5 linked regions of the Mus musculus genome follow. The protein of the gene in region 3 purifies or fractionates together with the protein of the main gene of each other region. This does not show direct contact. Links are inferred from orthologs where the notes say so. Each region holds a gene or a part of one and is shown on either strand. Other genes may lie near its edges.

Evidence for each region.
Region 1: the proteins of Pfdn6 (region 3) and Pfdn5 purify together in Homo sapiens (affinity purification with mass spectrometry; 5 studies listed by BioGRID and IntAct, with this or other methods). This does not show direct contact. The link is inferred for Mus musculus from reciprocal best matches to the Homo sapiens genes PFDN6 and PFDN5.
Region 2: the proteins of Pfdn6 (region 3) and Vbp1 purify together in Homo sapiens (affinity purification with mass spectrometry; 6 studies listed by BioGRID and IntAct, counting the BioPlex papers as one, with this or other methods). This does not show direct contact. The link is inferred for Mus musculus from reciprocal best matches to the Homo sapiens genes PFDN6 and VBP1.
Region 4: the proteins of Pfdn6 (region 3) and Pfdn1 purify together in Homo sapiens (affinity purification with mass spectrometry; 6 studies listed by BioGRID and IntAct, with this or other methods). This does not show direct contact. The link is inferred for Mus musculus from reciprocal best matches to the Homo sapiens genes PFDN6 and PFDN1.
Region 5: the proteins of Pfdn6 (region 3) and Pfdn4 purify together in Homo sapiens (affinity purification with mass spectrometry; 6 studies listed by BioGRID and IntAct, counting the BioPlex papers as one, with this or other methods). This does not show direct contact. The link is inferred for Mus musculus from reciprocal best matches to the Homo sapiens genes PFDN6 and PFDN4.

What each region holds. Positions count from the first base shown.
Region 1 is NC_000081.6:102,324,786-102,328,922, reverse strand, and holds the start of Pfdn5 (prefoldin subunit 5), read right to left. Parts: upstream 2,808-4,137; 5' UTR 2,735-2,807; coding exon 2,663-2,734; intron 2,491-2,662; coding exon 2,388-2,490; intron 2,106-2,387; coding exon 2,074-2,105; intron 402-2,073; coding exon 327-401; intron 276-326; exon of another isoform or gene 214-275; intron 212-213; coding exon 106-211; intron 1-105. UniProt on the Homo sapiens protein: Binds specifically to cytosolic chaperonin (c-CPN) and transfers target proteins to it. Binds to nascent polypeptide chain and promotes folding in an environment in which there are many competing pathways for nonnative proteins.
Region 2 is NC_000086.7:75,512,922-75,517,100, reverse strand, and holds the start of Vbp1 (prefoldin subunit 3), read right to left. Parts: upstream 2,805-4,179; 5' UTR 2,763-2,804; coding exon 2,673-2,762; intron 13-2,672; coding exon 1-12. UniProt on the Homo sapiens protein: Binds specifically to cytosolic chaperonin (c-CPN) and transfers target proteins to it. Binds to nascent polypeptide chain and promotes folding in an environment in which there are many competing pathways for nonnative proteins.
Region 3 is NC_000083.6:33,938,409-33,941,743, forward strand, and holds Pfdn6 (prefoldin subunit 6), read right to left. Parts: upstream 1,936-3,335; 5' UTR 1,680-1,935; coding exon 1,616-1,679; intron 1,411-1,615; coding exon 1,340-1,410; intron 1,256-1,339; coding exon 1,131-1,255; intron 704-1,130; coding exon 580-703; 3' UTR 501-579; downstream 1-500. Other genes in the region: Wdr46 (WD repeat-containing protein 46), read left to right, coding at 2,241-2,351, 2,477-2,683, 2,784-2,864, 2,998-3,110, 3,225-3,312. UniProt on the Homo sapiens protein: Binds specifically to cytosolic chaperonin (c-CPN) and transfers target proteins to it. Binds to nascent polypeptide chain and promotes folding in an environment in which there are many competing pathways for nonnative proteins.
Region 4 is NC_000084.6:36,451,689-36,455,891, forward strand, and holds the start of Pfdn1 (prefoldin subunit 1), read right to left. Parts: upstream 2,808-4,203; 5' UTR 2,798-2,807; coding exon 2,765-2,797; intron 1-2,764. UniProt on the Homo sapiens protein: Binds specifically to cytosolic chaperonin (c-CPN) and transfers target proteins to it. Binds to nascent polypeptide chain and promotes folding in an environment in which there are many competing pathways for nonnative proteins.
Region 5 is NC_000068.7:170,509,763-170,514,034, forward strand, and holds the start of Pfdn4 (prefoldin subunit 4), read left to right. Parts: upstream 1-1,467; 5' UTR 1,468-1,683; coding exon 1,684-1,707; exon of another isoform or gene 1,708-2,165; intron 2,166-4,272. UniProt on the Homo sapiens protein: Binds specifically to cytosolic chaperonin (c-CPN) and transfers target proteins to it. Binds to nascent polypeptide chain and promotes folding in an environment in which there are many competing pathways for nonnative proteins.

The sequences.
Region 1 (4,137 bases), on a different chromosome or scaffold from region 3:
CACTCACACACACACACACACACACACAGAGGAATAATAAATACTACTTTACAGAAAGAGAGATAAGAGTTAGTTTACAAAAGAGGTACCCTAGGCAGAACTTACCCTGCTTCATGGCATGCTTCTCCTGCAGCGCTGGCTGGATTTTCTCCATCTGTTTGGTGAGGAAGTCTATCTTCCTTTTGAAGAAGTCCTTGGCGTCCTCAGCTGTCTGCAAGAGCAGAGGTGAATGAAAGACTAGAGAGACCCTGTCCTACACCACACCTCTCCCCTTAAGCTCCCGTCGCTCACCTCCTCAGAACTTCCCCACCCCCACCCCCGCTCACCTTCTCCACGTAGTAGCCGGTTCCCACATCAATAAGCACATGCTCCACATCGTGTAGCTTCCCGGGGACGTACATCTGAGAGGGCAGGGTTAAGAAAAAACTGACCCAGCATGCGGCATGGGTTTGTCAGCCAGGGTACTAACCCCAAGGTGTCCTTTTCTAAAAAGCTGCAGCTGGGAGAACCAAGAGACCGGAAGCCTTAACTTACGGGTCACTGTAACTGGAGGGACACAACAGAAGCTGGAACACTTTCTGGTCCTGATCCCATCTCTCCTCTTTAAAGGAGCCCCTGTATTTTTCCACTTTCCAGAAGGAACAGATCAGATACTTAGGATTCTTTCCTAAAGCTCCAGAATAGTGTGAGTGAAAAGCCGGCCTCACTTCCCCTGAACCATGAATCCTGATGGATTATTACTAATTTTGATTTAAATATTTAATTTTAGATTTGTGGTTCGAATATGCTTGGCCCACAGAGTGGTACTATTAGGAGCTATATAGCTTTGTTGGAGGAAGTGTGGCACTGTGGGGGTGGGCTTTGAGACCCTCCTCCTAGCTACCTGGAAGATGGTCTCTTCTCCTGGCTGCCAATTGGATCAAGATGTAGAACTCTCAGCTCCTTCTACAGCACCATGTCTCCCTGGGTGCTCCCATTCTTCCAGACACAGTGACAGTGGACTGAGTCCTCTGACTCTAAACCAGCCCCAAATGAAATGTTTGCCTTTACAAGAGTTGCAGCCGGGCGTGGTGGCGCACGCCTTTAATCCCAGCACTCGGGAGGCAGAGGCAGGCGGATTTCTGAGTTCGAGGCCAGCTTGGTCTACAGAGTGAGTTCCAAGACAGCCAGAGCTAAAAGAGAAACCCTGTCTCGAAAAACCAAAAAAAAAAAAAAAAAAAAAAAAAAAAAGAGTTGCCTTGGTCATGATGTCTCTTCACAGCAATGAAACCCTAAGACAAAACTATGTGTATGTGTATGCATCATGTGCATGCCTGGTGCCTGCAGAAGTCGGAAAAGGTTGCTGCATCCCCTTGAATTGTTGTCACCTACACCATGTAGATGTTCGGAACCCAATTGGGTTCTCACTGAGAGCAAGTGCTCTTAACTGCTGAGCCATCTCTCTAGTTACAAATTATTACTACTTTTAAACTTACATGTATTTGGTCTGTGTGTGTGTTTTCACAAGTGTGCATGCCATGGAGCACGAAGGTCGGAGGACAACTTCTGGGAGTTGGTCTTCTCCTTCCACCCCATTAGTATCAGAAAGTTAGCTCAGTGTGTATGTGTGGGTTTTACGCTCTGCGTCGTCACCTTGCCGGCTCTATTGTTACTTAAAACAGTCTTCACCACTTTGCTATTCTTAGGTTTCTCTTTCGACTGTCATTTCCTGGTGGAAATGACAACAGGTCATTTCAACAGGAGGAAACAATCTACCTTTCACTATTAGAGATGAGCGGCAATTAAGGTGAAATTGAAAAAAGAGGCAAGTTCCCAATTTCAATATCCTAACATTTTTTCTACTGGCTTTAGCCAAATGCCAGCTTTGTCTCCATATTGACATCTCTAAACAAAGAGAAACACAACATTTCAATTCTTCACCGAACTCTGATACAAAGTATTACATGGACACTGGTGCAACGTTAGACAAGTGAGCTACGTTAAGTGTTCGACTGTTCTTAAAATCAAAACTCTCCCCGCTTTTGGGAAAGACTGTGGAAGAATGTAAGGTAGCATTTCCCGTGGAAAGGATACAGAACTCGTCAGTGGGACCAGTAATTCTTTTCCTGTGAAAGTAATAAAGACAAACAGCTGGGGAAGGCTAGCGGCTCCCACGCGAAGACGTTAGGGGAAGCTCCCAACAGGGCTCAGTGTTCACAGACAGTGAAAAGAACACAGCAACTGAGGAAATGTCTTGTACATTTTAGTTTTCTGTAGGCAACATGCGGGGGCTCCTGTGGCTACACACACACTAAGTAACAAACAGTTTTCTTTAACGAAAACTGGAACTAGGAAAAAGCGAAGGAGAAGCCGGCATCCCCAGGCGCCCTCACCCGCCTAGCCCATACCCTCGTTGCTCTTGTTCAGCACGTTCAGACAGTCCTTGGCTTCCACGTACTTGGTCTGGACCACCTTGAGCTGAGCAATGGACGTGGACAAAAACTCCACTTCCTACAGAAGCCGGGAAAAAACAAGGGGTCAGCTCAAGAAAGCGGGGCCCAGGCTGAGGGGGCGGGACCCGGGACCGGATAGGGGTTTCCCTGGGAAAGGAAGCCTCCCCGACCGGGCGGGCGGTCGGTCGGAGGATATGAAGCGCGAGGAAGGTGCTGGGACAGGTCCTCACCTGGTCCAGCTGGTTCTTGAGCATTTCCAGTTGTGGCAGATTCAGCTCCGTGATGTTAATCGACTGCGCCATGTTGGGAAGGAGGACTGCCGAAGAGGAAGCCGCCTGGGCGAGTGACGCTCTAGCCGCCCTCCGCGTTACCTCCGTGGTGCCGCCAGGGGATACGCTCTGCGCCCGTCGTCTCTATGATCCTGTGTTTCGGACCCGCTTTTCGGATCTCAAGCTTAATTAGAGAACGCAAGTTTTTCTTTTCTCAGAGTACACTAAAGCTAGCACGGTAATTTTGGCTTCCTGTCCCCATAACTCTAGGTTCTGCTGGCCTAGAAGTTTTGGCTCCAGAGAGGGGAGTGCTCCTACCAGGAGCTACAACAAACATTCCATTGAACTGGAAGCTCAGACTTCCCCTTGGTCATTTTGGGCTTCTAATGCCCTTAAACCAACAGGCTAAAAATGGAATAACAGTGTTAGGAGGGGTGATAGATCCAGATTACCATGGGGAAATTGGATTACCTCTTCACAATGGTGGTAAGCAAGATTATGTCTGGAGTGTAGGAGATCCCTTAGGGCGTCTCTTAGTACTACCATGTCCTGTGATTAAAGTCAATGGGAAACTACAACAGCCTAATCCAAGCAGGATGACAAAGGACACAGACCCATCAGGAATGAAGGTATGGGTCAATCCTCCAGGAAAAGAGCCAAGACCTGCTGAGGTGCTGGCTGAAGGTGAAGGAAATACAGAATGGGTAGTAGAGGAAGGTAGTTATAAAATTAGTTAGCAAACATGGCTTGGGCCTTCAAGGGACTCGAAACTCTCGGACTCACGACACAACCACAAGATTGTAAAGCGGTATAAGCTACTGCGCGTTGTTGGGACAAGCCCGCGACAGGACAGCAGGGAACCTGTGTTCTGACAGTACCACTAACGCGCTTTAAAGGATAAAGTGCAAGTGCCAAAAAGGAACAACTGCCAACCAACTACATTTATTTTTATGTCTCAGTATATATGCAGGCAAACCAAACCTAGGTCCTTTGAAAGAGCAACCTAGTGCTCATAACTGCTGAGTGTCTGTCTAGCCCCACCATTGTGTGTTGGATAGGAAGGGTCTGTGTGCTTCCCAGCAACTTTTTTTTTTTTTTTTAACAATATCAGCCAGATATTGGTGGTGCACACACACTTTTATTTATTTATTTATTTATTTATTTATTACATGGAAGTACACTGTAGCTGTCTTCAGACGCACCAGAAGAGGGCATCAGATCTCATTATGGGTGGTTGCTGGGATTTGAACTTTGGACCTTCGGAAGAGCAGTCAGTGCTCTTACCCACTGAGCCATCTCACCAGCACCCCCCCCCCTCCCAGAAACTTTTAAAGGTGTAGTTGTTGCAACAAACCATATGAGTAGCAAACCCCATTGAATCTGCTGCTGCCATTGCCAAAGTGTAGCAGCCTTGGTGGGAAGGGCAATGGTTTCTA
Region 2 (4,179 bases), on a different chromosome or scaffold from region 3:
ATCTACATCTTCCTTTAATATGAAAAATCATACGAAGTTTTAAATTCATATTACAAACCTGATTTTTACTACTTTGTTTATAAAATGTAAAAGAACAAGTTTTGTTTTCCTCAAAGGTTTGTTTCATTTAATTTTTTTTGAAGAAAAAATTTCATAAAATAATCTGATCAACTTCCCCTCTCCCAACTCCTCCAAGATCCTCCCACCTCTCCAACTCCCCAATTTCTCTTTCTTTAGAAAATAGGCAAACAAACAAAAAGCCATAATTTTAAAAACAAAAAAAATCCATAAAAACACAAAATCTGAAATGAAAGCATCCAGGCAAAAGGCCAGGAGGGAGAAAAATACTCAAACAATACTACACAAAAAGTCTACAACAATACGATTGAATTAATTTTGTGGTGGCCGTCTATTTACTGCCCTGCATGGAATCCACCCGTTAGTATGGCTAATATACCTAGTGAGACTCCACTGGAGAGAACTAATTTTTCTTTTCTGAAAGCTTGTTTTTAATTAAAAACCTAACTATAAAGAGTTAAAGATGGCTGCCCTGGAGCTCAGTGGTATACCACTTGCCTACAAGACAGGTGGCCCTAGGTTATCCCCAGCACTGGCAGAAGAAAAGTTAAAGAGAAGTTAGACATGATGCTACAGGTCTGTTATCCCAGAACTTAGGAAGTAGAAGCGAAAGGATCCAAAGTTGTCAGCCTGGACAACATACTTTGTCTCAAAAAAAGAAAAAAAAAGTTCAAGAAAGACCATTTCGGACAGTTTACATACATTATGTAGGTAATTTATTCTTTATTTTTCTGTTTTTAATGTAAGACACATGAACTTGCCTGCTTTATACATTTCTCATGTGGCTCTAGTAATAAATATGAAAATTGCTAGCAATGAAGCACACTGCCTACTCATGTGCCCTAGTCACTAAAGAATTGAGCAAATTGTGTGCCAAAGTTATCATTTTTCTTACTGATTTAATTCAATTGAATACATATTTTATTTTTCAAAATAAGTCCATAAATATTGTCACCCATAGAAACTCAAGACTAAGCAGCAAGATGGAAGTTGGGTAGGATTCAAATACTCTCAGACATAGAATTTTATGTTGTTAAAATATCATGCCACTTCCATTAGTTTTGGAACATCAAGATAATTATATAAAGTTTGGACTGCTTATTACATCGTGTTGGTATAAAATTTAACCATAAAATTTTACAGCCAGTTGTCACAGTGTCTGTCTTTAACCTACAAACTTGGAAAGCAGAAGCAGGACAGGCACTATGAATTTGAGGCCATCCTAATCCAAACAGTGAGTTCTAAGCCAACCTGGGCTGTCTCAAAAAAATAAATAAATAAAATAAATAAATAAAAGTTTATTTTACGGTAAATCCCTCAGATAAAGTTTGTATTCATTAATTCCATTTCTGAAGTTACTGCTATCGGGTTATATTTAAGACAGAATGGAAATTTATATATTTACATCCTTATATATCAGGCATTATAATAGGATCAGGAGAAATAACACAAAATTTCCTCACCTCTAAGTAGCAGAGCATGACCAAAGAGGTTCTAAAGCTCTCCTGACTGCTCAAATGCTACTTCTGGATACCTCTATTTCTGGGTTTCATCAACTACATCTACAAAATTTGAACAACAGTAACTCCCTCATAAAGTTTTGCAAATTTTCTAAGAAAATTTCTGAACCTCAGAAAATATTACTTCATGTAAAGATCACTTGAAAAATATTTTTAAAAGCACAGAACATTGAGAATACACATAAAAATTTATTCCACCAGCACATTAAAATATACAATATAAAATGTGATTTAAGTAAAAGAAAAAAAGGGTCTTTTGAAGAATGTTAGCAATAAGACAGAATATATATAATTTTTGGTACATACCAAAAAAGAATCAAGGAAATTTTGACTAAGATTTTATATGCTTCAGTACAAATATTTAACTTGGGTCGGTCCTGTTACATGAAACCTTCCAATTGCATTTCCCACAATCTTCACAACTGCATAAAATTTGTTGTCTACAAACTGCTTAAATAGTATTACTAAAAGCAAATATAAAATGGTTTCAAAAACCTAATAACAGCCGGTTGCCCATTACATAAGCCTCAATTCTTAAAAGCAAGAACACATGGACTTAACGTTTGTGCTAACGTTTACTTTTCTCAGCAGTCTGCTTCCATTCCCAAGGAAACGGACCACGGCCGTGCTCAAGCTGACTGGGTGCCACTCAGTACCCACACCCTACAAACAGCTGCTCTGCCTGCTCTCTGTGCTAAATGTCCACCCATCTACATCTCCGGCATCACTGCGGTCTTGAGCTCAATAACCGTTGCTGCTGTTTTTTGTTTTTCTTTAGGCGACAACAGGCAGCAACTGGTCAGTTTCAAGGGACGCCACGCCCCAATCCGCCTCGCATCCGTCTCCAGCTACCCAGTTCTCCTCCCTGCTCCCTCTTCTGGGCCGGGGTTGGACTACCTTTCTTCAAAGCTATCGCCCGCCAGGCCTAAAAAGCCAAGATGCAGGAAGAGGCAAAAGGCCAGACATTCCCTTCCGGGACCCTTTAGCTCTGTTCCTCCCAACGACCCAGACCTGGGAAGTGACTGGAAAGCAATCTCCAATATCAGATTAAGACGCTGAGAAAGAGTTTCTTACCACAAACACTGCTTCAGGAATCCCTAAGTGGAGCCGCCGCCCGTTTCCAGCAGCAGTTTCTAGGCCGCATCCGTCCTTAGCCGCCGCCATCTTCAGAAAGCACCAGAGCAAATAACTACCTTCTGAGGCATCGATCGTTGGCGTCAGTGATTGGATCGTTTGCACTTCAGACCCGCCTCTCTCCCTGCGAATCTGCGTATTCATTGGTGCTTACGTCGTGGGTGGTGATTGGCTACACGCATGTGACTGACAAGCTTAGAAAGGATGTGTTGGAAAAGCCAGAAGGCTAATGCTTATTCTAATGCTTAATCTCAGAGATCTAAGGAATGGGCAAGGATAAAGCCCTGGGAATTCAGACCATGCCAAACCGCAGCCCCACCTGCACCTGAAGATATCAAGAGACTACACTCCAGAGTGGCTTCTGAGGCAATCCCAATTCCCTTTTGCAGACCAGTGAACTTCATTCTGAGTGTGTATGCCCTGGACTCATAAGAAATACACCAATCTTTCTCACAAGCCACCTTCAGTGAGATACTTGTCGGCTTCCAGGTCAAAACTTTCGATATGTTTATAGTTTATGTGAAAAAAATGCCAAGAGCTGTGCTTAAATTCTTAGATCCAAAGACTTCCCAGAGTTTTGTCCTCCACAACAACTCTTTAAAAAGCAAATCTATCAATAAACCAGATATGCATAATCACTGCAGGAGACCCTGTTTGCAAATAAAAGCAAAAGTAGCTTATAAAACAAAGCAAGCCAGTATCAATTTGTCTTAGTCAGGGTTTCTATTCCTGCACAAACATCATGACCAAGAAGCAGTTGGGGAAAAAATGGTTTATTCAGCTTACGATTCCATACTGCTGTTCATCACCAAAGGAACTCAGGACTGGAACTCAAGCAGGGCAGGAAGCAGGAGCTGATGCAGAGGCCATGGAGGGATGTTCTTTACTGGCTTGCCTTACCTGGCTTGCTCAGCCTGCTCTCTTATAGAACCCAAGACTACCAGCCCAGAGATGGTCCCACCCACAAGGGGCCTTTCCCTCTTGATCACTAATTGGGAAAATGCCTTACAGTTGGATCTCATGGAGGCATTTCCTCAACTGAAGCTCCTTTCTCTGTGGTAACTCCAGCTGTGTCAAGTTGACACATAAAACCAGCCAGAACAACATGGCAGGGAAACTATAGCCATGAAATCTCAACAATATGGTTGCCTAGCCAAGTCCTACATAATGACCCCAGCAGCATACACGTTAATGGGAATGAGGGAAATTTCACACAGCCCTACACTAGATGATGAACTACAATCAGTCAATGGCTGCTGAGGGAGGGAGAATCAATTTTCTCCAGAGACAAGCCCCCCTGATAGGTTGCCAAATCTTAAATGGTCAGCCCCAAGTACATGTACATATGAACAACATTAAATGTACTCAGTTATAAGTTTATATAAGATACAGTAATAATCATACAAGAAGGGACCATGAATCCAAGAGGGAGTGGGCAGGAGTTAAG
Region 3 (3,335 bases):
TCGAGGCCAGCCTCACTACAGAGTGAGTTCCAGGACTACACAGGGAAACCCTGTCTCCAAAACCAAAAAAAGTTACATTCAAACCAACCCTGAGAAGATAGACGGGGAAATCAGGTAACAGTCTAGGGCTAGGGCTGCTTGGGGAGACAAGTGCTCACCGTGAGTGACTGTCATTTCCTGGGCTCTCAGGCCAGAGAACTGAGTTCTATGGCAACGAACAACATGCTGCACTGTAGACAGTGTCTTCTCCCGTGTCTCCCGGTTACGCCAACCAACGTAGGGAAGTCAAAGGGTTGTATGTACAGGCAAGAAATAGCTTGAGACGTTTCAGACTAAAGTTTTGAAACTGAAGGGACCCAAGGAAACACCCTGGGCACAGTTCTCAGCCACAGGAAAGCAAAACAGAATCCGGCCACTGAGAGATTTCAGTCACAAGACCGTGAATCTCAAGAGGTGTAAAAGTGTACGGGAATGGAAGTACAGTGAAGAAAGACTGGCTGTAAAGTAGGCTTGGTTCTGTTTACATTTTATTGGCTCAGGGTTAGCCTCATCCCTCCCTCCTGACCCCCTCCCACGGGGTCAGGCTTTCCCAGGAGCCTTTGCAGCTTGGGCCCGCTGAAACTCCTGCTGCAGTTGAGCAAGGGTTTCCCTCTGTTGCTCTGACTGCCGCTCGAGGTCCCGAAGCTGTGATTCGTAGCGCTTGCTGAGGAGGGCAAAGGGAGGCAAACGGAGAGGAGATATCAGCCAGGGCTCAATGATATGGTGGAAGACTGGAGGTTTGTGGGACAGAAAGCGGGGATGGCACTAAGGGGAAGAGAGGGCTGCTGTCCTCCAAGGCTGGCACCTGAATTCAAGCTACAGAACCCCACAGTAGGGAGGCAAACATTCCCGCAGGTTGTCCTTTGACAAGTGCCCTCACCAGATGTCACACAGCAAGAAAGGCCAGGAGTGGTGCCACATGCCTTTAATCCCATCCTTTAGGAGGCGGCAGCAGGCGCATCTGTGTCAGGTCAGCCCCGTCTACAGAGCGAGTTCCAGGGCAGCCAGGACTTTACAGAAATGGGTAAGTGGAGAACTATCCAGCACGGGTTTAACACTTGTGCACTGAAAACGCCATCCGCAGGACTTACATTTCTGCTGTGATGTAGTCTAGCCTCTTCCCTACTGTGGCCCGAGCCTCCCCCAGCTCCTGTTTGACAAGCACGGGTCCCAGAAGCTTAAAGACCACGTTGGATCCATCCAGCAGGGCCAGCTCCTGAGAAGGGGATGAGGCAGTGAATGAGATGATCGTGCCCAGGAGAGTCCCTCCTCGCCCCCCACCCCCGCGTCCCATCCTCACCTCCTTCACGATATTGTTTTCCGTTAGCTGTGCTTCGAGCTTCTGCCTCCCTGACATAGATTTACTCAAGTCTGGGGTGGAGAGAGGAAATGCACGATTAAAAACATCAAATGGGCCCAGAACCGCGCAATTCTGGGGAGACTGGGTGTGAGGAAGAAAGCGACGATACCGAGGCGAGGGGTAACAAGATGCACCCCCGCAGCCCCCAATGGGGCGCGACGCTTCATCATAGATGAGAGCGGACAGGAGCGAGACCACACCAACTCCCTCTCTTACCCTTCTGCAGCTGTTGATATTTCTCTACCTCTCCCTGCAGCTTCTTTTGGATCAGTTCAGCCATGGTGAAGGAGAAAGCCTCCTGGGCGGGGGTCGCTGGGTCTCAAGCTCTGGGAGGCACCTGAATCCCCCCTCCCTGACCCTGCAGAAGGACAGCACTTTCTACCCGCAACTCTCCGAGGCGCCGCAGCCTCTTTTCGTCCAGAATAGCCACTCCCTAGGCAAAGGAGAGCGAAAGAAGAGATCCCCGAACCCTCCAAGCCAAACGCTAACCTCTTCACGCTCTACCCGCTGTAATCAATAAACCCGGAAGTAAACAAGGCATGACGGGAGAGAAAAAGACGGCGCCGGAAGTTACATTCCGATACATGCTGGAACATGTAGTTCTGACTTGTGTGAGGCTCGTTCGACCTAAAAGACTCGGCTCGAGAGGTTTTGGGCAAGACAGAAAAGTTAATATGGAAAAATCTAAGCTCATAGTTAACAAGATTCGGGGCTCATACATGCTTTTTAAATCTTTATTTGGTTATAAGCTGCTCCTCGGGCGATCCTCCCGGGCTCACAGAGGCATGCCCTCACTTAACATGGCGCCGGAGGCTTCAGACGCCGGTACGGCGCTGATTGGATGAAGGGGGGGACTTCCGGAAGTTTTCCTAGACCGCCGAGCTACTACTCAAGGGAGTTTCGCACGTGGATCGTTGTTCGGTCTTGGAGATGGAGACAGCCCCCAAGCCGGGTAGGGGTGTCCCACCCAAGAGAGACAAGCCTCAGGCCAAGAGGAAGGTAGCTTTGGTGGGAGGTGTCCGCGTCCCGGGCCCAGGCTCGGGCAGCGTGTGCGAAGGCTTTTCCTCTGCCCCTTAGAAACCGCGGCGCTACTGGGAGGAGGAGACCACCCCGGCCGCCGTCGCCACCTCCCCGGGGCCGCCTCGGAAGAAGGCGAGGACTGGGGAGTCGCGACCCCCGAGGTCCAAGAGCGCGCACATCGCCCAGAAGTCCCGGTTCTCCAAGAAGCCCCCGATCTCAAAGACCGCTCCAGACTGGAAGAAGCCTCAGAGGACGCTGTCGGGGGTGAGCCTGGGGTTGACAGGGTGGCGGTGCAGGTCGTCCCCGGAGATCGAGAGGAACCGGATCCATCAGAATCTGCCTCCTGCCTCCTTGTCCTCGCCAGGCTCAGGACCCGTTCCCAGGACCCGTCCCCGCCCCCCTGGAGGAGGCCCGGAAGTTTTGTCGAATTGACAAGTCCAAAACGGTGAGGACCGGCGGGCTGTCAGAGGGATTGGAGGCCGAGGGTTTGGATGAGGTGGTGGCGGCTTCCCCAGTGGTTTTCCTGGGACCCCCACATATGCTCTTCGGTTCTTGCAACCCTGTCAACAATGCCGTAGCTCCCACATTCGAAGCCTAAAACTCAAAGCAAACTCGAGAAGGCTGAAGCGCAAGAGGAAGAGGCAAGCGTCAGAGCCGCCCGCGCTGAGCTGCTGCTTGCAGAGGAACCTGGGTGAGTGGACCCCGACCTGGGCTTTCCCCGCTGTCCTGTCTCTCTGCGTTTTTATGTTTGTATGCCCGCTGCATGGTGGGGACCGTCACCGTCGTCATCCTAACTGCCTTTTAGGTTTCTGGTAGGAGAAGATGGGGAAGACACGGCAAAAATCCTGCAGACAGACATCGTGGAGGCTGTGGACATCGCCAGTGCTGCCAAGGTGAGCCCAGGCTGGGAGAGGAG
Region 4 (4,203 bases), on a different chromosome or scaffold from region 3:
GGAGATTCAGGAGTTGTTTGGGACTCAGATTTGTAAGATATTCGAGACCAGGCTGAGCTACAAGACACCTAGTCTCACAAAAGATATTTTTTTTTTTAGGACCAGTGAAATTGACTCAGCAGAGAACGGCACTGTCCACCAGGCCTGATAACCTAAGTTTGATCCCTGGGAACTACATAGTAAGAGAACACTTGAGCACACTTGTATATGCACACACAAACATTTTAAAATTATTTTTTAATCTATCTATAGATAAATAGATGGGTGGACAGACAAACAGAGGTCCATGAGGTGGCTCAGCAGGTAAAGGTACCATGCCTAACAACCAGAGTTCCAGCCCTAGAACCTGAACTCACATGATAAAAGGAGAAAACATTTTATATAAAGCTTTATATATAAAGCTAAGATTTACATATCAGGCATAGAAATGCACACTTTTAATCCCAGCACTCAGAAGGATCTCTTGTGATTTCAAGGCTAGCCTGGTCTACCTACATAGTGAGTACCAGGCAAGTCCAGGACATATGGTGAGACCCTGTCTCAAAAAAGAAAAAGAGAGAAAGAGAAAATGTAAAGGCTGAGATTTATAGCATGAGAGAATGCTGTATAAGGCTAAGTTTACATGTTTCAAGACAAGAATGGCAAAAAGCAAGATCCACATACTTAGCATCCCCAGAACAATAACAAGTGGCGTCTTTTATTAGGAACAGCTATTTCAGCTGTTGTATTGCTTAGGCAAAGGTTAACCAGAGGCAGCTACTTAAGATGTTACTTATAGGAGCTAGGGAAACAGTTCAGTCAGCTGACCCAGGGTTCACTCCCCAGGACCCACAAAGAAAGCTGAGCTTGGGAGCTGATGGGATGGCTCAGGGGTTAAGAGCACTGGCTACTCTTGCAGAGGACCAGGTTTGGTTCCCAGTACCCACATAGCAGCCCACAACCACCTGTTAACTACAGTTTCAGGGGAGGCAAAGCCCTCTTCTAGCCTGAGAGGGCTGCACACATATGGTATACAGACATTCGTGCAGGCAAGATACATACATAAAAATACAAGTTTCTTCTGTTGTTTAATGCTAGGCATGGAGGCAAGGGGGAAAAAAGGTCCCTAAAGCTCACTAGACAGACAATCTAGCCAAAGTGGCAATCCCTAGGTCCCAGTGAGAGGTCCTGGGAATGCTGGAAGCCCTGGGTGCAAATACTAGCACTGGGGAAAATGGGTGGGGGTGCATGCCAACTACATAACCAAGTTCCAGGCCAGCCCAGGCTACATGAGACTCGGTCTCTTAGAAAAAACAAGACCAGAATCTGGGCCAGCAGACAGCTCAGCTTGCCTAGAAGGCCAGACAAGAGTTCAGTTCCCAGGACCCACTTCATAAGAGAGAGAAAAGCAACTCCCATAAGTTGTTCTCTGACCTCCACGAAGCACCTTGCAAGCATGTCTACACACACACACACACCTTTCAAAAATGTTTCTCACCTAAAGAACCTACTGATTGAAAAAAAAGGCCACAATAATACCAAATCCTAGACTCGGTCTTAAAGATGTGTTTATTATTGTGTGTGTGCTTTGGGACCAGTGAACTTCGTTGTGCCTCTAAACCATTAGAGAACAACTTTGAGCAGTTCTCTCCTTCCGGCATGGATTCTAGGGATAGCACTTAACCAGCCAGGCTGCCTGGCAAGTGTCTCACCCACTGACCCATTTTTCTGCCTGAGGCTCAATCTTTTAAGACTTTTCTTGCCAGGGACCCTAGCACGCATCTGTTACCCTAATATTCAGAAGGCAACAGCACTAAAGTGCATTAGGGGTTCAGGGCCTAACCAAACCAAACTAAGCCAAACCAAACAAGCCACAAACCAAAAGACACTAGAAGTTTCCCTCTTTAGAAAAGTAAGTTTTAGCAGAATGAATTCTAGGGCCCTCTCTAATTATAACTAACTCTCCACAAGGAAAGCACAGTCAGGGTTCTCAGACTGTTAAGTAGCAAAAAATGTTTCCAAATAACAACCCATTTATAAACTGGCTTTTGACTCAAGATTGTAATTCCCAGAACTCAAGAGGCTGAGGCAGAAAGATTGCCTGGAGTTCAAGGCCAGCCTGGCTACATAGTAAGTCTCTAGAACACACTGAGTGAGACACTGTCACAAAAAAAAAAAAAAAAAAAAAAAAAAAAAAAAAAAACCATTTCTAAGCAATGAATTGAACAAAATAACAATAACCATACTAATCCAATTCCTCTGAAAGGTCTTTTGGAAAGCTTACGTGGGGAGCAGGGGTGGTGTGTGAGTTCTTTACAAAGGTGATGGGGAAGGTATGGTATAGAATAAATGACCTAAAAGCAAAGGTTGAACCTGGAGTTTTTCAAATCAAATGAGGAATCCAAACTGCAGGTGCGCCTCCTGCAAGCACCGTGACGGGCATCACTGTGAGACGCTGTCTTCAGTTCAGGCTAGGAAATTGGGGTCCCGGCGGCTCCAAAACACAGAGAGATGTCTCTGAAGTTCCAACCTAAGGACACACTGCAGCCCAGCCCGCGCGTGACCCAGCAACCCAACCCACCCGCCTGAAGCAGCTCCTGCCACCAAGAGGCTCCACCTGAAGCAGAACAGGTCCCGTCTCAGGGCTCCGGGAGGCCAGACCCCGCCCCCTACAGTCTCCTTCCTCCAGCGAGACGCGAGCCTCACCCCCTCCCGCCCCCGTTCTCCTCCTCACTCGCTTCATCATTCAAACAGAAGGGTCTGTCTGCTGAAAAGCCCCCTTTACCTTCTTCAACTCCAGATCCACGGAGGCGGCCATATTGGAGCACTCTCTGCGCCTGCGCTAGAGGCAAGCCGGAAAGGGGTGGGGGAAGGGCGTTTTCAGGTTTTATTAGTAGGCTTCTTTCTGCGCCTGCGCAAAAGTGAACCTCCACTAGCCCGGATTTCTCACTCTAATCTATCTACCCTACTCTACCACTCTGCTACGAGACAAGTGACCCTGAACATTGAAATTCTGATTATACTTGATAAACAACGTGTAACTGCTGAGATGTGGCTCGGTCTTATCTTCCACATACAATTAGACAAACATCTGCATTTGGGCTGCAGAATTGAAACAGGTTTGAGGGTCAGCTTATCAACCATTCATTCAGTCCCTGTCTGTTAGGGATGTATAAAGCCCCCAGCTTCAGGCATGCCTGTAAGACCATTAGAAGTACGGTTCAACCAAAAAGAACTTAATTTTGCTGAAGCCTCCTCTTATATCATCTAGACACAGGGCTTCTCAAGACAAGTCGCATATGTTTGTTGAAATCAGATTCCTGGCTGGGGTGTAGTTCAGTTGGCTGAGTGCTTGCCTAGCATCCTTAAAACTCTGAATTGAAACCACAGCACTGCACTAAACAGGTATGACGTTGCATACCTGTGATCCAAGCACTAGGTAGGTTGAAGCAGGAGGATCAGAAGTTCAGGGTCAGGTCAGCCCAGGGAATAAAGGTGCTTGCCACCACAAGGAAATAAAGTTCAATCCTGAGAACCCACATGGTGCAGAGAAATGATTCCCACAAATTATCCTCTGACTCCCTTCTATGTGTGTATCCCCACACTTGCTTATGAACACACAGTCACTAAATACATTCAAATTTTAAATGAAAATTAGGACCTGGAGAGGTGGGTCAGCAGTTAAAGAGTATATACTCATCTAGAGAACCATAGCTCGACTCTCAGCACGCATGTTAGATGGCTCACAACGACCTGTGTCTCCAGTTCCAGAAGAATGCAGACCTCTAACCACCCACACACACACACACACACACACACGTAGACAAAATTAAAGAGAATAAGAATAAATCTGTAAATTTAAAAAGTTCAAGTTATCCTCAATGACATAGAGAGTTAGGGCTCAGCTCAGACGACGTAAGTCTTGTCTCAAAGAACAAAAACTCAAAAACAATAGACGAGGGTCAAGCACTGTGCCCCTTTCCCATGATCCCAGCACTGGAGAAACTGAGACAGAAAGATCACCATGAATGTAAGGGCAGTCCGGTAGTGATACCAGGCCAGTGTATAAACAGGAATACCACCCCAAGAGACAGGGGCAGGATACAGACTGAGATCTTATACGGAGATCTGTTTTGGCTTTGGCTCTGTCATTCTGGCACACAAACATACTTCTTTCTTTCATCTCAGGGCATATGTAGTTCTGGAGACCGTGCAGCCAGTGTT
Region 5 (4,272 bases), on a different chromosome or scaffold from region 3:
AATGGGCACATGCATTATACATTAGAACAGCGGTTCTCAACCTGTGGGCCGTGATCCTTTTGGAAAGTCGAATGGCCCTCCCACCCAGGTCAAGTATCAGACATCCTGCATGTCTGGCATTTACGTTACAATGTATAACAATAGCAAAATTACTGTTGTAAAGTAGCAATGAAATAATTTAATGGTTGGGAGTCACCACAACGTGAGGAACTGTATTAAAGGGTCACATTAGGAAGGTTGAGACCCACTGCGTCATAAGCAGACAGGCGAGATCTGCCCCTCTTCCCCTCCTTGGCATGCCCTTGTGCTTGAAGCCATAGGAGGGACTGGCAGAGATGCAAGAGCGCCCAGCCGTGCTTTTACTGTCCTGCGGCTCACACCTGGTCCTCCCTGTCCCTTGGTAAATGAGACAATGGCCCATACCCCAATACTCTAAGCTCTTCTGCCCTCAGACCTCCGACTTTCTGAGAGCAAAGTCTTGGCTACCGAAGTTAACAATGGCCCTGGTTACTAAGGAAGCTCGGTGCCCACTGGGCCCTGTGTGGGCAGTCTTCCCAGGCTAACATATTTGAGCGAGTGGAAGACATATTTCTGAACCAATTTAATTTTAAACACATAAAAGAATTCATTTCAGTTGCACATGATGGAGCACGCCTCTGATCCTAGCGCTTGGAGAGCAGAGGCAGGAAGATCTCTGTGAGTTTCAGGCCAGCTTGGTCTACACAGCTAGTTCCAGGACAGCTAGGATTACATTGCAAGACCCTGTCTCTAAATATAAATAGCCAAGCAACCGTCCAGTAAGCTATTATCTAAGCATTTAAGTTTGTTATAGCGCTCTAGGTCAGTGGTTCTCAACCTATAGATCGGGAGCCCTTTACAGAAGCCGCCTAATACTATCAGAAAATAGATATTTATTGACATTATGACCCAGCACCGTAGCAAATTTACATAATGAAGTAGCAACAAAACTACTTTTTATGGTTGGGGGGGGCACTACAACATTTAACTGTATTAAAGGGTCTCAGCACTAGGAAGATTGAGAACCACTGCTCTGGATCTTTTTGGGTGTCACCTACCTTTGGCTTCATCTATTCCTGGCTGATCCCCTAGTGTCCCCTGCAGTGATCAGTGGCATACAAGCTAAGATCAACTTCAAGAGTGGCCTTCAGCTTGTAGCTTCGCCAGCACTGGGTTTTTATGTGGTAGGGGCTGTAGATCGAACTCAGGTCCCCATGCTTGAGTGCAAATACTTGACCAAATGATTTACCAAATACTTTGCCGAAGCCACGCCCTTACCCTCCTTAGCTTCTCTCTAGGTTGTTGAATAAATGGAAAAAGAATTTCTTAAGCTTCCCATTCCACACAGCTGGGTGGTACCCAGCGCTCCCCCTGCTGGCCGTGGCTGGGATCTCGGGCCCGACTATTGGCCGCTTTTGGTATTTATGCCGGCCGAGAGGGAAGCTGCCTGTCCCTTTAATTGGAAGATACCAAGTGTTTCCAGGGCATAGTTTTTTTTCCTGAGTCCTTGCCCTGGGAATTTATAGTTCAGAGACACAGATAGCAGCAGTGTTGAGATAGTGCTGTGCGTTAGGGGGGAGTCTGGCTCAGCAGGGCTCGAGAGGGACCTCGGGGGGTGACGCACGCCCGAGTGGTTTTCCCCCGCGCCCCGTGGTTCAGTCCAAGATGGCGGCCACCATGAAGAAGGCGGTGAGTGCGGCGGGGCCGGGGTCCGAGGAGCCGTGGGCCGGGGCGTGTGAGGAGACGCGGGGCGCTGGGGGCCGGGGTCTGAGGAGGTGAGGGATGCGCGGGGCCGGGGCCCGCGCTGGGTACAGGGGTGCTTCTGTCCGCTCCGCTCGCCGTCAGGGCAACCGCCTCACCTGCTCAGGGTCGTGCATCTCCTCGGGCACCGGGTCGGGCTCCGCATCCCGGGCCGTCTGCTACCGCATCCCGGGGCGTCGTCTGCTACCGCACCTCTGTGCTCCGCCCCGGACCGCTCCGGTCGGTCCACGCTCCGTGCACCGAGTGTCTAATTGACGTTGAGAGCAGTCGGCCCGAGCGAGCGCGGTGGCTCTCCGGGCTTTTCCCAGCCATTAGGAAGGACACGGGTCCCCACGCTCTGCCCCGCACACTTCACAGCCAGCCAGCCAGCCAGCCATTCCTTTGGTGACTCATCTGGTGAGATGCTGGGTCTGGTGATTTTTGTTTGGTCAAATTAGAGCTCTTTATCATTTTTAAAACGACGTCCGATCCTTGTTCATGGGGCTCGGTGTGATGTCTTATCACACTTTTGAAAGACACGGACTTGTGTGTGTGTGTGTGTGTGTGTACACACCAGACTGGTCCACGGCTTCCTATGCAGTCAGAGATGATTTTGAATTTCTGACTCTCCTGCCTCCACTTTCCAGGTGCTGGAATCACCGGTGTGTGCCACTACCCCTGGCTTTTGGTGTGCTGGTGTGGTGGACCCAGGGCTTCATGCATGACAGGCAGTAGACATGGCTATGCAACCCTTTCAACCAATATTTTGAAACTTGAGCTAAATTTGAGCCACCAACTTAAGTTAAACTTCCATGTGGGTTTTTATAACCTAAACGTGTTTCCAGGAGTGCAGGTGTATCTAATACAGGGAAAGAATTGCAGAGGAGGGGAAAAAAAAAAAAGAACAAACAAGCAAACAGCTGATAGCTATTGGGGCTTCACAGTGTGTTCGGACAGTTCTTAGCATTTGCTAATTATTTTGATCTGCTGTGTCAACCTTTTGGGAGATTCTGTATTTATTCACTTTTAGCTGAAGAGGAAACTGAAGCGCAGAAGAAAAGCTGTGATTTAAAGAGCATTTGCACTCCAGGCTCCTGTCTGTCTGTCTCTCTGCCTCTGCCTCTCTCAGGCTCCTTGTCTGTCTGTCTCTCTGTTTCTCTGTGTGTGTGTTAGTGTGTGTGTCTCCCCCCCACCCCACCCCGGGCTCCTTGTCTGTCTGTCCGTTTGCCTGTCTGTCTCTGATGAGAGGCGCTTGGCTGAAGACAGTTGCTTTCACTCTACTTTGTAAGGCCCCTGTAGAATGCCTTTGTGTTCTCGCTGTTGGCACCGTGTAGTCAGTGCTTCTGACCACTGAAGGTTGATGCTCAGCATCCCAGTTCATTAAGAGGGAATGGCTGCTGAGCCTGGGGAGGCTTCAGAGTTCGAAAGAGCCCCTCGCCCTGGTCTGTCACCCACAAATTATTACACGGTAGCAGAGTACAGTCCGGGGCCACGGTGATTTGGCCAGGTAGGAACAGGTTCATTTTGCCTCTCTTGTTAGACTGTGCTCTCAGCTGTGGGTTACACTGGTCAGTTCCACGATAAACATTGTCCTTGCTTTTGCTTTTCTGAGACAAGGTCTCACTGTGTAGCATTTGCTGGTCTGGAACTCTTAAGAGATCTGACTGTCAGCTGAAATTGTGGAGAGCTTTTTGGCTGGGGACCCAGATCTCAGTACCTGAACTTGGAATAGAGTATGGTTTATTTCCTCTTAACAATCCCATAAGGTGTTACTGAGGCCAGGGTGTAGTCAGGGTCCAGGGCAGCTTACTTTCTTCTTGAATTTGGAGCAAGTCATGTCTTGTATAACTAGCAGAATTCCCTTAACTCTACAGTGATCCTTTTTGCCATTCTGCCTTCATTTCTCACATAGCCCAGGCTGGCCTCAAACTCACTATGCAGCTGAGGATGACCTTGAATTGTTAATCCTCCTGCCTCCGCCTCCCAGGGGCCAAGTGGCTTCTGGTGGCTGCTGTTTGTCAGGGCTATGTCGGGAAATGCCTGCTTTGGAAAAAGCAAAAACAGCCAACTTCCAGCACTCTTTGATGTCAAAATATCTGAGTCTGATCTATCGTAATTTAGATTCTAATTCAGAAATCTTTCACCAGTGTTGCTTGTCAGGCAGGCCCTACTAGGGCCTCTCACCTGAGTTGCTTTTAAAGTCCTCGTGGTGACAGACACACCTGAAAATGCATCCTAGGGCTTGGGGGCTCTGTAAACTCCCGAGTTAAGAAGGGAGTCCTCGAGGTTTTCTGGGAGATTGATAATTCTCGTAGGCAAAGCACCAGGATACAGGTCTCACCGTCTTCGTGTCTGTTGAGTGTCTGCTGCTCGCCTCTGTGCTGTCTGTGCTCTGCGCTGTGCACACATGGTGGGGCGGACTCTGACCATACGCATTAGGGCTGATGTCAGGCTTGGGGCATGCGCAGTTGCTTGTTGGGATGAGAGCCTAGATTCCAACACCTGTCTATCTGG